2 linked regions of the Coturnix japonica genome follow. The protein of the gene in region 2 interacts with the protein of the main gene of each other region in a pairwise test. Links are inferred from orthologs where the notes say so. Each region holds a gene or a part of one and is shown on either strand. Other genes may lie near its edges.

Region 1 (6,822 bases), on a different chromosome or scaffold from region 2:
ACGACAGTGATAATAATTAGATATTAATTAGAAAATATTATCATCTTTCTCTTCTGTGTCTGGTTTCCTGTCTGGATCAAGAATGAGCATCACCCCTATTCTATTAAAACTGGAGACTTTTCTTGCTCATTCTAACTTGTCACAAAAATTACATTACAGTAACTTCAGAATATCTTTGCTCTCTCTGTTACTTGACAGCTAAATAATTATGGGATGAACGCACTAAATGTACTCCTGTCAAGAGGGACTCATGGATGAAAAATTGGGCATGAGCTGCCAGCACACAGTTGCAGCCCAGAAAGCCAATTGTATACTGAGCTGCAGCAGCAGCAACGTGGCCAGAAGACTGAAGGAGATGGTTCTCCCTCTATTCTCTACTCTTATGAGACTCCAACTTAAGTACTATGTTCAGCTCTAGGGCCCTCAGCATTAAGACATGGAGCTGTTGGAGCTGGTGTAGAGAAGTGCCATGAAGATTACCAGAAGGCTGAAGCATCTCTCCTATGAAGAGGGACTGAGATAGTTGAGGTTGAGGCTTTGGGGAGACCTCACTGCAATCATTCAATACTTAAAGAAGGCTGATAAAAAAAGATGGACAGAGCACCTTTTTACAAGGGCATGTAGTGATAGACTGGGATTAGATATAAACCAAATTAGATCTAAAAGTAGATTTACATTAGATATAAGCAAGCCATTCTTCAATATGAAGGTGGTGAAGCACTGGAACAGGTTGCCCATGGAGGCTGGGGAAGCCCCATCCTTGGAAATACTGACAGTTGCGTTGGATGGGAGCTCTGGGCAACCTTGTCTAGTGGAGGGTTTGAAACTGGATGGTCTTTAAGGTCCCTTGCAACCCAAGTCATTCTATGACAAGTTGTCATGGTTTTGTAACGTTGCTGTCAAAATTCCACATCATAACATCATGTGCAGTATGGATCATTAAATTTCTTCAGAAACCCTAGATGTAACAGCTATAAAAATATACATATCTTTAATAAATCAAACTGTCCTTCATTGTGTAAAAACATTCTAAAACCAGATACTGATTGTGCTCTATTATTCAAGAACAAGAATAGTCATAAGCACGATATTTACCTGGTACCCACGTCAGAGGGGCACAAACAGCATTACTAGCACTGATCCTGTGGGCGTATTTAATTATTTCTTCAGATGAAATGGCACCTGGAAGAAGGAAGAAAAGTTCCTGTATTTAAGAGACTGCATCGTTTGATTATTTCTGAATATTGGATGGTTTTTCATACAGAAAAAATTAGGAAAGTCATTCTGTCAAACATCAAAATATGCTTCAAATGCAATGACTGATCAGAGATTCAGAACAAGCGTCATAGTGAATTCACTTTCCAGCCACATGTTCCGTATACCTTGGAGTGTTAACAGGTCTTCAGCCTTTTGAAGAAACACAAACCAGTATCTTCCACAGTGCACTTGACAAGCACATTGTTAAAGAAAATTTCAGCACTTTTACTACAGAAGTTCTGCAGTAATTAAAATCTCTTTCTTCTTCGTAGCTGTAGTTATACATGTACGCAGTAGACCTTCCCCTAATAAATACACTTGTATTCAAGTTCCTCTAATAAATACACTTGTATTAGAGTTACTAGAATCATTCTGAAATTCCTTGATTTGTTTAGAAGGAAGTATGGCAAAAATGACTATAAACAAAACTTAAAAATGCTGCCTACCAAAAAAAAAGAAGAAAAAAAAATCAGTTTGACTGGGAAACTGCCACTCATAGCAGCAATTGATACAAATACAAACAAATATCACCAGCTAATCAGTCTTTTATAAACAATGGTATCATATACATGTACACAAAAAAAACCCTTTCACTTTTCCAGGTAGTCACACTGAAATGATTTGATTTAGGCAATATGAAATCTGTAATAGCCTTAAGAGAAAATTACTAACTTAGATTACTAACTTGAGCTCACTTGCAACACTCTTTACAACTGTTTGTATGTTATGTACGATCGCGGATACTCACCTTTCCTTGCCTTTTCAATTGATTTCAGTTTTTCCTTTGCTTGATAAACCGCTGTGGCCTAAATGTGAAAAAAAACAAGAAAGAAACAACACTATCTACAGCAGGGGAGATTCAAGCTGGACATTAGGAAATAATACTTCTCAGAAAGGGTGGTCATGCACTGGAATGGGCTGCCCAGGAAAGTGGTGGAGTCACCGACCATGGGGGTGTTCAAGGAATGACTGGATGTTGTGTTGAGGGACATGGTTTAGTGGGAGCTATTGGTAATAGGTGAACGGTTGGACTGGATGATCTTTTAGGTCTTTTCCAACCTTGGTGATTCTATGACTCTAAACCAAAACTTCACTGTATCTTTCATTTGTATCCTTCTGTATTAAGATCTGTGTGACTAAACCCTTGATGTAACTGCATTTTAGGAGAGAAACTTCTCCGGAAACGCTTCAAAATATACAGAAACAAAGTAGATTTGTAGAAAATTATCAATATAAAGTAACTGAATGCCATGATAAGGAAGTAGTTTTACTGGGAGGGGGGGAAGACAATAAAACAACCAACTCTAAAGCTCTCACAAAGTTTTAAACATTTCAAACTTCTCAAACTAACACAAAACTTTCTCCAAAGCTTTTCCCCTCCCTACTAGCAGATGCTCAGAAGCAAACACATCATTATGAACTTACCAGTATGTGCTCTGCTTCTTTCAGTTGCTTCTGCAGCTGCTGAATGTCATTATCTCTCTTTTCTACTACCTTTTCTAAAAGCTGCATTTCATGATGGATTTTCCCCTGATCAACTGCCAACTTCATTAGCTCTTGAAACTCTCCATCTCTCTGAATCAGCAGCTCCAGGATCTATTAGACAAGAGTTTTGTAGAACTTTTAATTAGCTCAAGTAACAACGCACCCTCCACCACACTGCAAAAAGCAACTGATATCCACAAGATTATTATTTCTTGCTCAGCTTGCAGAAACAGCCTACGAAGCATGAAACAAATGAACAAGCAATCAAAAACATGAAACCAAGAATGCTTTTTCAGTGATGCCAAAGCTTCATCATCATCGTTAGGAGTCCTCAGTCTCAGGACTAAGTCTCAGGACACCCAGGAGGGGAGTAAACTCTTCGAAATGGCTGACAATAGCAGGACATGGGGAAATGGTTTTAAGTTAAAAGAAGGAAAATTTAGGTTGGATGTTAGGGGGAAGTTCTTCACTAGGAGAGTGGTTAGGCCTTGGAACAGGCTGCCCAGGGAGGTTGTGGATGCCCCGTCCTTGGAGGTGTTCAAGGCTAGGTTGGACGGGGCCCTGGGCAACCTGATCTAGTAAAGGTGTATGTTTGGTGGCCCTGCCAGGCAGGAGGGTTGGAACTACATGATCCTTGAGGTCCCTTCCAACCCGGCTCATTCTGTGATCTGTGATTCTGTTAGTTCATGTACAAAGGGAGAAAATAAGAAGACATAGCATTTACCTGCAAAAAGGATAGCAACTAAGAAAGTCAATTTACCTGGCTCTCTTCTCCTGGTTGTGGAAGCTTCTGGTTTCTTGAAATTGCCAAAATTTCAATTAGTTCCCTAAAAGGAAAACAGTATTTATGCAGTTTTCTAAGCTATTATTTGTAAATCACACCAAATCATCCCCAACTGAGTATTTACATCATTATTAAATCATTCTTGTTCTTAAGTATTTTACAGTTTTACATCACAGTGTTGACAGGGATTTCACTTTTACTTCCATAAACATAAGTATTTCACAATGGTGTATCAGCTGTGCACCAAACTCACAAGAATTAGCTTAAAAGAGCTTCTCAAACAGACCTCTTGATCTTGCCTCCATTTAGTTTTCCCACCATCATGTAGAGCCACAAAGAACCTCAAATGGAGCAATGAAGTTACCATCCTTGAAGGTGCTCAAGAAACATATAGCTGTGGCACTGAGGGATGTGCTTAGTGGGCATGGTAGGGACAGGGTGATGGTTGGATTAGATGATTCAAGAGGTCTTTTCCAACCTTAATGACATTCTCTACGACTAGAATAAAGTTGATTGCGACTGTGAAAGGCCCAGCTCCATGGTACTGCTGATCACTCACATGTTGCTGACAGGCTTTGGGTTTGCTATCGCAGAATCATTAAGGCTGAAGAAGACCTGTAATTACATCCAGTCCATCCATCAGCTCTTCCCACCATGCCCACTATCCCTGTGGCAGTCACTGAGCCACACGGCAGGTTGGTAGCGAGTAATAAGAGCTGCTGGAGAGACAGACTGCTTGGGAGGCAGACTGCACAGGTGCCAGCGAGGAACAAAGCTCCGAGCACACGAACCAGAGCACGGACACAGCTCTCCTGTTGCCCCCCGGGCCCCACGCGTGCGTTCGGCCCCAGGCCGCCGCTCATCCTTCAACCCAACCCCGGCTCCTCGCTCGCTTTCCCCGCCGGAGCCTCGACACCGAGTCTCGGCCATCCCATCGGGTACCTGGCCAGGAGTTCCAGATCCTCCAGCGCCGCCAGCAGCCTCTCCCTGGTGCTGCTCCGCTCACCACCTCCCCCGGCCGCCGTTGCCGCAGCCGCCATCACGCTCGCGGACCCGCCCCCGCCGTAATCCAGCCCCGCTCGGGCGGGACACAGCGGGACACAGCGCCTCCAGCGGCCGAGGGACTGCGGCACGACCGGCAGGAGGCGGGAAGCGGCAACGGCCGCCCTGAGGGGCGGGGAAGGGCGGGACGGCGCGGGAGGCTGGGGCGTGGGGAGCCGCCATGTCGGGGGGCGGAGATGACGTTCGCTTCGGCTTTAGGTGTGGGCTTGTGAGCGCCGTGTCATGGAGCTAGTTCTTTGTAGGTGGAACTGTGCTTAGAATCGTTTCTGAGCCTAAGTTCGTAACCACCAGCTCATCCCGCCATGCACACTAACCGTGTACCTCAGTGCCACAGCTGCCCGGCTCTTGAACTCCTCCAGAGACGGTGACTCTAAGAGCCTCTAAATGGGATTCATACCTACTCTAAAGATCTAGAAAGCAAATGATAAAGAAAGGGGGTATGACTGAATTCCATCTTATCATTTCGTACTCAGTGTCTGTGGGTGCTGATGTCTGAAAATCCTTTAGGTGGCTTTATCAGATGGAGGAGGAAAGTGGCTGAAGAATGTTAAGAGTGATGCTGAAGGAGCCAGGATCACCTCTTGCCTAGGTTTCCTATCCCACAAACAGCAGGACTTCACAGCTATCAAGGAAAAATGACCATCCCAATTTGCCAAGGCTTGCCCATAGTAGCCAACCGCAGCTCTGCTTCATTACAGAGGTCTGCTTGCAATGACAGGGCAGCAAACATGCAAGTGCTGCCCTCTGTCATGTCAGCAGTTGAGCTAGAATTAAAATATACTGAGTTGTATGGGTTATGTTTTGGGGTTTTTTTAAGTGTTGCTGTAATTCGGGTGGTTCTGTAAACAGGCCTCTGGCTCTGGGTGGGGACACAAAAGAAGCCAGACTGAAGCCAGTGGAATTTTTTACATTCATGAAATCTTCTGGTAATATGAAGAGATCAGGACGGAAGGTGGAGGCAGATGAGGAGTGAAAACAAATCCAGAGCCAGGGTTTATGTCTGGGGTGAGGACTTAGGCAGAAGCCATGGTGTCCTCAGCCTCCACATTCTTCTCTTGCCAGCAGGCAGCTGCCGAACCCGCCAGCAAAGCAGTGATTCACTTCTCTCTTCATTAGAGAAAGCTTCAGATGAATGATAACGTCTCTGGATGTTCTAATACTAACGCTGATTATCTTTTTACCTTCTGTAATAAGTACGTCCCTGAGAAATTTACACTTATTAAAAAAATGAAAGGCAAGAAACTCATTAATCAACGATCCTTTGAATTGTGGTTTAAATAAACAATTCAGCGTTATGAGATCCATGATGAAGCAGTGAGATTTGGCAACCCTGAAATGGAGATAACCGCCAACGAGAGTTATTTAATATTCATTTACAATATACAACAGCCCTCAGAGTCCTGATGGTAGATAGTTTGGGAATTCTCTTGAAGCTACACAGCAGATAAAATCTCATCAAATAGTTCTACTCTTTAAATAACTTTTTCTTGCTTTTTTTTTTTTTCACTGTTTTTGTTCAAGGAAAGATGTAATCAGTGATGCTGTCTGGTTGTGCATCCACTTCACTGATTTGTTAGAGTGTCTGTATGGCTGCATGAGCAGAAAGAAAATAGCAGCTTCAGAAAGTAAAGCAATCCTTCTGCTAAATCATTTTCTTCCTCGCATTCATTTTGACATCTGAATTATTTAGGCCTGATGTATTTCTAATACATTTCAGGGCCGCGATGCTAGAGCTAAAACTTATAGCATTAATTGGACGCCCAAACTTGACAGGCCAAGGGTGTAGGAGGTTCCTGCAAGCTGTCTTTCCCTTCTTGCATCCAGGAGCCTGTTGCCTCCATCCCTTTCGACAACAGTATGTCTACGAGCCAGGCCAGTGCCACCAGGCTTTCATTGGAGCAGCTGCCTCCCTCCTCTCGCTTCCCAGGCTGACGACCCTCCTCTAGGCAGCGTGTTCATCGTGCTTTTGTTCTGGTGTCTGATCCTTCCCCTCTCCTTGCTCTGGGGATGGAGTAGAGGATATCAAGGGCAGGTTCCCAGGCAAAGGCTGAATTTGAGCTCCTGCCTCTACGTGGGAGGATGGGCTGAGGCCAGAGGCATTGGGAAATGCCTGCCTGTGTGAAGACATAGAGCGTCATTCAGACTGTGGTAGAGAGGTCATCTCCTTCTGGGCAAAGGGGAAGGCTGGGTTAAATGGGCTTGCACCCTAAACTTGCCCCATGGCCCACTTGTTT
Region 2 (6,152 bases):
GGCTCCACGTCCCCCTCCTCCTGCATGGGCTGTGCTGAGAAAGGGGTGGGGGGCAGCGGAGGAAGGGTTGAATTGAGCTGCTCAGCCTCTGCCCCGGCACACGCAGGAGATGCGCTCGGGCAGCTCGCCGCGCCGCCGACTCCACAAGGGAGTGGCTTTATAACTTATCATAATTAATTACAGCACAATGTTGAGCGCGTTCGCATTTGTTATAAATCAGCAGCTCCTAAATGACGATCTGCGGAGGTTCAGAAGAGGCTGTTGTCGTTTGCATGGGGCGGCAGCCTCACTGGGACGGGGGTTGGTGCGGTGCCTCCTCGCCTGGCGGGGTGTTAGGAAGGGAATCCCTTCCCGGGTAGCAGAGCGGTGGGGGCTGGGGGGGGGCACAGCACAGCTTTGTGCTTCCCCATGTGTGCAGGTTGAAAACTTGAAGGCGAACCTCCGTGAGCAGGCGCAGGAGATCGGCAGGCTGCGCTCGGAGATGGTGAGCTCACCGGCTGCGGGGGGGGGGATAAAGTGGGACTGGGGGGGGCTCCCATCACACGCTGACGTTCCGCAGGGGGGAACGGATGCGGAGAAGCACCGGGACCTGCTGGTGGCTGAGAATGAGAGGCTGCGGCAGGAGATGAAGGCACGGGAAGGGGAGTTAAGGGAGCTGCGGCGGCAGCAGGCGGCGTGTCGGGACTGCACGCACCTCCAGGTGAGCTGCGGGTGAGCCGTGGGGCTGCGGGTGCCACGGCCAAGGCTGAGCCTGCTTTGGGGCCAGGAGAACGCCGGGCTGCAGGAGCGGCTGTGCCAGCTGCAGAGGGAGGCGGAGGAAGCCCGAGCCAAGCTGGCCGAGCTGGAGCTGGAGGTGCAGCAGAAGACGAACCGTCTGGCCGAGGTGGAGCTGAGGCTGAAGGATTCGCTGGCCGAGAGAGCGCAGGAGGAGGAGCGGCTCAGCCGGCGGCTGCGGGACAGCCAGGAGACCATCGCCAGCCTCAGGGCTCAGCCCCAGCAGATAAAGGTGAGCACCGCGGGGCTGTGCCTCCTGCTGGCTGTGCCGCGGTGCCGTGACCTCGGTCCGTAATACACCGTCGTCTGTGGGCGCTTTGTGCAGTACATCATCAAGACGGTGGAGGTGGAGTCAGCCAAGGCAAAGCAGGCGCTGTGTGAAAGCCAGTCCCGAAATCAGTACCTGCAGGAGCAGGTGGGGATGCAGAGGCAGGTGCTGAAGGAGATGGAGCAGCAGCTGCAGAGCTCCCAGAAGACGGCAGCTCAGCTCCGGGCACAGGTACGGGTCTGCAGGCACAGCAGTGCAGTGATGTGAACCAGGCGGCACCTGGGACTGATGTGCATTAATTGTCGGTGCTGCCTTACCCCACCGATCCCCCCAGATTGCCATGTATGAGTCGGAGCTGGAGCGGGCCCATGGGCAGATGCTGGAGGAGATGCAGGCGATGGAGGACGAGAAGAACCGTGCCATCGAAGAGGCGTTTTCCCGCGCCCAAGTGGAGATGAAGGCGGTGCATGAGAACCTGGCGGGTGAGGAGGGCAATGGGGTTTGTGGGGCTCGTGGGGGTCAGGGCCACCCATCCTCACCCCATGCTGCCCACAGGCGTGCGGACCAACCTGCTGACGCTGCAGCCGGCGCTGCGCACCCTGACCCACGACTACAACAGCCTGAAGCGGCAGGTGCGGGATTTCCCCCTGCTCCTCCAGGAGACCCTGCGGAGCGCCAGGGCTGAGGTGAGTATGGGGTCAGCCCGGAGCCCCTCACCCTGTGTGGTGTGTGGGTGGGAGGCTGAGCATCATCCTTCACTCAGATCGGCCAAGCCATTGAGGAGGTGAACAGCACCAACAGGGAACTGCTGCGCAAATACCGCCGCGAGCTGCAGCTCCGCAAGAAGTGCCACAACGAGCTGGTGCGGCTGAAAGGTGCGTTGGGGCCGGGCTGAGGGAATGGCCGGGTGCCACAGCGGGGCTGATTGATGCCTCTGCTCCCCCAAGGGAACATCCGTGTCTTTGGGAGAGTCCGCCCCATCACTAAGGAGGATGGAGAGGGCCCGGAGGCGGTCAGTGCGGTGACGTTCGATGCGGATGACGACGCCGTCCTGCACCTCCTGCACAAGGGGAAGCAGGTGTCCTTTGAGTTGGACAAGGTGTTTCCTCCTCAGGCGTCCCAGGAGGAGGTGGGTGCTGCTTCACGCCACTAACAGTGGGAGGAATGAGGGCTGTGGGACCGTCCCCTGATGCCCTCTGGCCCCCTGCAGGTGTTTCAAGAGGTTCAGGCTCTGGTCACCTCCTGCATCGATGGGTACAACGTCTGCATTTTTGCCTATGGACAGACAGGGGCAGGGAAGACCTACACAATGGAGGTGAGTTTGCCTGGCTTTGCCTCCCTCTTCTTCCTTGCAGTGCCCTGTGTCCCAGTGCTATCATTAACGCAGGCTGGCGCTGGACCAGTCCCGGCTGTTTCTGCAACCCCTGAGCTTTGCTTCTGCTCAGCTGCATCGGGAAAAAGCCCAACGGGTCATTTCTCTCCCCATGCACCAGGGAACCTCCACCAACCCGGGTATCAACCAGCGGGCCCTGCAGCTGCTCTTCTCCGAGGTGCGGAGCAAAGCGGCTGACTGGGACTATGCCATCAGCGTCAGCGTGGCCGAGATCTACAACGAGGCTCTCAGGTAGGGATGTGAGCCCTTGGCTGGGGCACAGCATCACGTGGAGCCCTCGGGGCTCAGCGTTGGCCGTGTAAGGAAGCACTGGTCTGGGTCCTGTCTCCCTTTGAGCCGTTTCTGCTTATTTGGGCTCCCCCCGCTTCCTCTGCCGGGCTCCAAACCCTTCCCCTTGGCCTGGCTCCTTGGCCGTTATATTTAGAAACTGTGCTCTGGGAGCCAAGGGAATGAGAAACATTTTCCTGCCCTGCCTGGACGCTGGGGGTTGGGGGAGTGACGGCAGCAGCCGCAGGGGCTCTCCAACACTGCAGGGACCAGCCCTGAGTGCACATCTTCATTGTGCTGCACCTCTGGAGGCAGCGGGCTCTGATCTGATGGGAGCTGGGTGCTGATGGGTTCCCCCTCGCAGGGACCTGCTGGGGAAGGAGCCCCAGGAGAAGCTGGAGATCAAGCTGTGCCCTGATGGCAGCGGGCAGCTCTATGTGCCTGGGCTGACTGAGTTCAGCGTGCAGAGCGTGGAGGACATCAACAAGGTGAGGCAGTGAGCTGGCAGTCATCCCACGGTGTGTTGGTGGCTCTGCAGTGTTGTCCCAGGATGGGGAGAAACAGAGCCCAGAATAGGCCCTGGGCGTGCTGCAGGGGCACTGGAAATAAAAGCACAGGGCACGGGTGGATGGGGGGACGAGCAGATCGCAGCCTCACCCCCTCCTCACCCTCAGGTCTTTGAGTTTGGCCACGTCAACCGTGTGACGGAGTGCACCAACCTGAACGAGCACAGCTCCCGCTCCCACGCGCTGCTCATCGTCACCGTCCGCGGCCTCGACCGCAGCACGGGGCTGCGCACCACGGGTGGGTGCTGTGCCCCTGGGTGGTTGCTGTGCCCCCTGGCAGGGCTGCATGGTAGTGCTGGCGGTGCTGACATCTGTCTGTGCCCCCAGGGAAGCTGAATCTGGTGGACCTGGCAGGCTCGGAGCGTGTCGGGCGCTCGGGTGCAGAGGGCAGCCGGCTGCGTGAGGCTCAGTACATCAACAGGTCACTGTCAGCGCTGGGGGACGTCATCTATGCGCTGCGCTCCCGCCAGGGCCACGTGCCCTTCCGCAACTCCAAGCTGACCTACCTGCTGCAGGACTCGCTCAGCGGGGACAGCAAGACCCTCATGATGGTGCAGGTCTGGGTTCCCCGTCCCCCACCCCCTGTGCAATGTGCCACCTGCCGTGGCTTCTCTCTGCTGGTGACGGGGTCGTGCCTGGTGCAGACGGCGGCTGGGGGCTATCCTGGGGGTGGTGGGTTAATAATAGCAGCCCCCTGACCCCATTGAGCAGCAGGGAGGGGTGGGTGTGGGGGTGTCAGTTGGGTGATGTGCTGCTGCTCCCACCCGCAGGTCTCCCCTGCCGAGAAGAACAGCAGTGAGACGCTGTGCTCACTGAAGTTTGCCGAGCGCGTCCGCTCCGTGGAGCTGGGCCCTGTGTCCCGCAAGGCCGAGCTGGTGTCCTGGCCCAGCCAGGAGCACCTGGAGGTACCCACAGCTCCACCATTGCCTTCCATTGTGTGCCATCACTGGAGGTACCAGCTGACCCAGGGCTGTGCCCCATCTCTCCCCAGGGTGATGTGCCGGGATCCTCCAGCCGGAGCCACGCATCCCCCAGCCCTGGGCTGCCCAGCGGCCGCAGCACCTCCATCCGCAGGAAGCTGCAGACCTCAGGTGGGTGAGGACAGGGGGGTCCTGCTCCATGATCCCGGAGTGCCCAACTCATGGCCTTCCACGGGAGGAGGCTCCCAGCCCACTGATGACAGGCTAAGCTGCGTGGTGTGAGCTGTGCTGTAATCGGCTCATTAACCGCTGGCTAATTGGCTGGCAGGAGCCTGGTTAGGGCTTCCCCTGAAGTGCCCTGTCCCAGCACAGGGCAGTGAGGGGCCACATGGGGCAAAGCAGCCAGGGCTGCACATGGGGCAGCCAGGGAGCGATGCTGCAGGGCAGTGCCCGCAGCTGAACCTCTCTTCTCTTCGATTTCAGCCTGAATTGGGCAGCAGTGGCTGCCAGGTGAGTGTGGTTGGCTGGGAGCTGGTGATGGGCTCTGCTTCAGGCTCTGCTTCAGCCTCGCTTCCCAGGCTGGGAGGGCTGCAGGGCTGTGCTGCTTACAGGGGTGCTGCTGGGACCGCATCGCTTGGGGCCTTGAGCTGTGGTGGCTGTGCCCCCTGCCCAGCCTGATGCATGTTGTGTCCCCACAGGGAAGCTGAGGCCGGTCCCCGTGTGACACGTGCTGCAGGACCCAGCCCCTCACCCACCTCGGTGCCCCGGCCACCTTCAGAGCTGTGCCTGGGGGTGGTGGCACCTCTCGCCGTGAGACACGCAGCTCTGTGACTTGTAATTCTTGCTGGACAGATGGCTTTAGCCAGAGCAAGGAGCCTCGACACCTCTTCAGCTTTGTTTTTGGGACGGTTGGGGTATCTGGCTGGAAGGATCGGGGCTGAGCACCCCCACCTCGCCGTGCTGGGGGCAACACGGCTGCAGGAGCAGCGGGCACATGGATGAGGTTTGGTTTGGTGTAATTGTGCCCAGCTCCCTGCCACAAGGTCCTGCTCTACCCCATGCCCCCCAACCCGGCCACATTCAGAGCAGCACAGCCCAGATTTGAAGCCAGAATAACCCCAGCAGCTCCTTTCCCTGTTGGATTCTCAGCCCTATTGCACGAAGGCGCCCCGGTGCTGCTGCATGCACCCTGCCCAAAGGGAGAGCAGCCACAGGGCTGTCCCCCTGGCACCAGCAGGGGCTTTGCAGTCTTGAAGGAAGCTATTGTAAAGTGACTGAACGGTTGTCTTCTCAAGAGAGATCACAGTGTGGTCAAGATGAATGTGTTTGCAATATTTATAACCTGTTTACATGGTCTTGGAATGGAGGAAAAAAGAAGAGTAACCCTGCAGCCCAGTGCTGTTGGTGTAGGTGTGGAAGTGGGGGCAGAGGAGCCCCATTGCAGCCCCTGGGGCAGCTGCAACCACGGGAGGTATGTGCTGCACCTTCCAGCTCCCAGCTGTCCTCCACACCGTATCCTATTAAAGAAAGGGAAATAAAAAGGGAAAAATAAGTCTAGTCTTTTGTTAAGATTAGATGTTTCTATGTATTTTAATAATATATATATTATTATCCTGTTTTATAACAAAACTTATTTTAAATAAAGCATTGAAGCCGTTCCCCCTGCGCTGCTGTTACTTCCCCCTGGGCTCCATGCCCCGCTGGCTGTTACAGGCTGGAGCCCACTGCCCTGAGCGCTGCCAGCACTCAGGTGTGGAGCAGGGATGTGTCAGGGAGGAGGACAGGCCACAAGCTGCTCTCAGGGCTGGGACCTGCCCAGCACAGCGAAACCTCCCACGGGCTTCCTGCAAGGAGCTCGGGCAGCACGGCCGCTCTTACTCACGGCAGCCACTTACTCACAGCAGGAAGGGTGAGAACGTGGCTGGTGCCCTGAGAGACATGATGAGGGGAGGAGATTCAGGCAC

The links.
Region 1: the proteins of KIFC3 (region 2) and MED4 interact in binary tests that used the Homo sapiens proteins (3 or more experiments, as listed by UniProt). The two-hybrid records come from large-scale screens. The link is inferred for Coturnix japonica from reciprocal best matches to the Homo sapiens genes KIFC3 and MED4.

Annotation. Positions count from the first base shown.
Region 1 is NC_029516.1:150,968,217-150,975,038, forward strand, and holds the start of MED4 (mediator of RNA polymerase II transcription subunit 4), read right to left. Parts: upstream 4,640-6,822; 5' UTR 4,567-4,639; coding exon 4,469-4,566; intron 3,570-4,468; coding exon 3,503-3,569; intron 2,854-3,502; coding exon 2,683-2,853; intron 2,064-2,682; coding exon 2,006-2,063; intron 1,183-2,005; coding exon 1,096-1,182; intron 1-1,095. UniProt on the Homo sapiens protein: Component of the Mediator complex, a coactivator involved in the regulated transcription of nearly all RNA polymerase II-dependent genes.
Region 2 is NC_029526.1:1,972,709-1,978,860, reverse strand, and holds the end of KIFC3 (kinesin-like protein KIFC3), read left to right. Parts: intron 1-418; coding exon 419-484; intron 485-559; coding exon 560-700; intron 701-766; coding exon 767-1,006; intron 1,007-1,099; coding exon 1,100-1,273; intron 1,274-1,376; coding exon 1,377-1,524; intron 1,525-1,597; coding exon 1,598-1,728; intron 1,729-1,805; coding exon 1,806-1,917; intron 1,918-1,989; coding exon 1,990-2,171; intron 2,172-2,252; coding exon 2,253-2,357; intron 2,358-2,535; coding exon 2,536-2,666; intron 2,667-3,066; coding exon 3,067-3,190; intron 3,191-3,376; coding exon 3,377-3,506; intron 3,507-3,595; coding exon 3,596-3,825; intron 3,826-4,038; coding exon 4,039-4,173; intron 4,174-4,259; coding exon 4,260-4,359; intron 4,360-4,671; coding exon of another isoform or gene 4,672-4,676; exon of another isoform or gene 4,677-4,698; intron 4,699-4,886; coding exon 4,887-4,912; 3' UTR 4,913-5,846; downstream 5,847-6,152. UniProt on the Homo sapiens protein: Minus-end microtubule-dependent motor protein. Involved in apically targeted transport. Required for zonula adherens maintenance.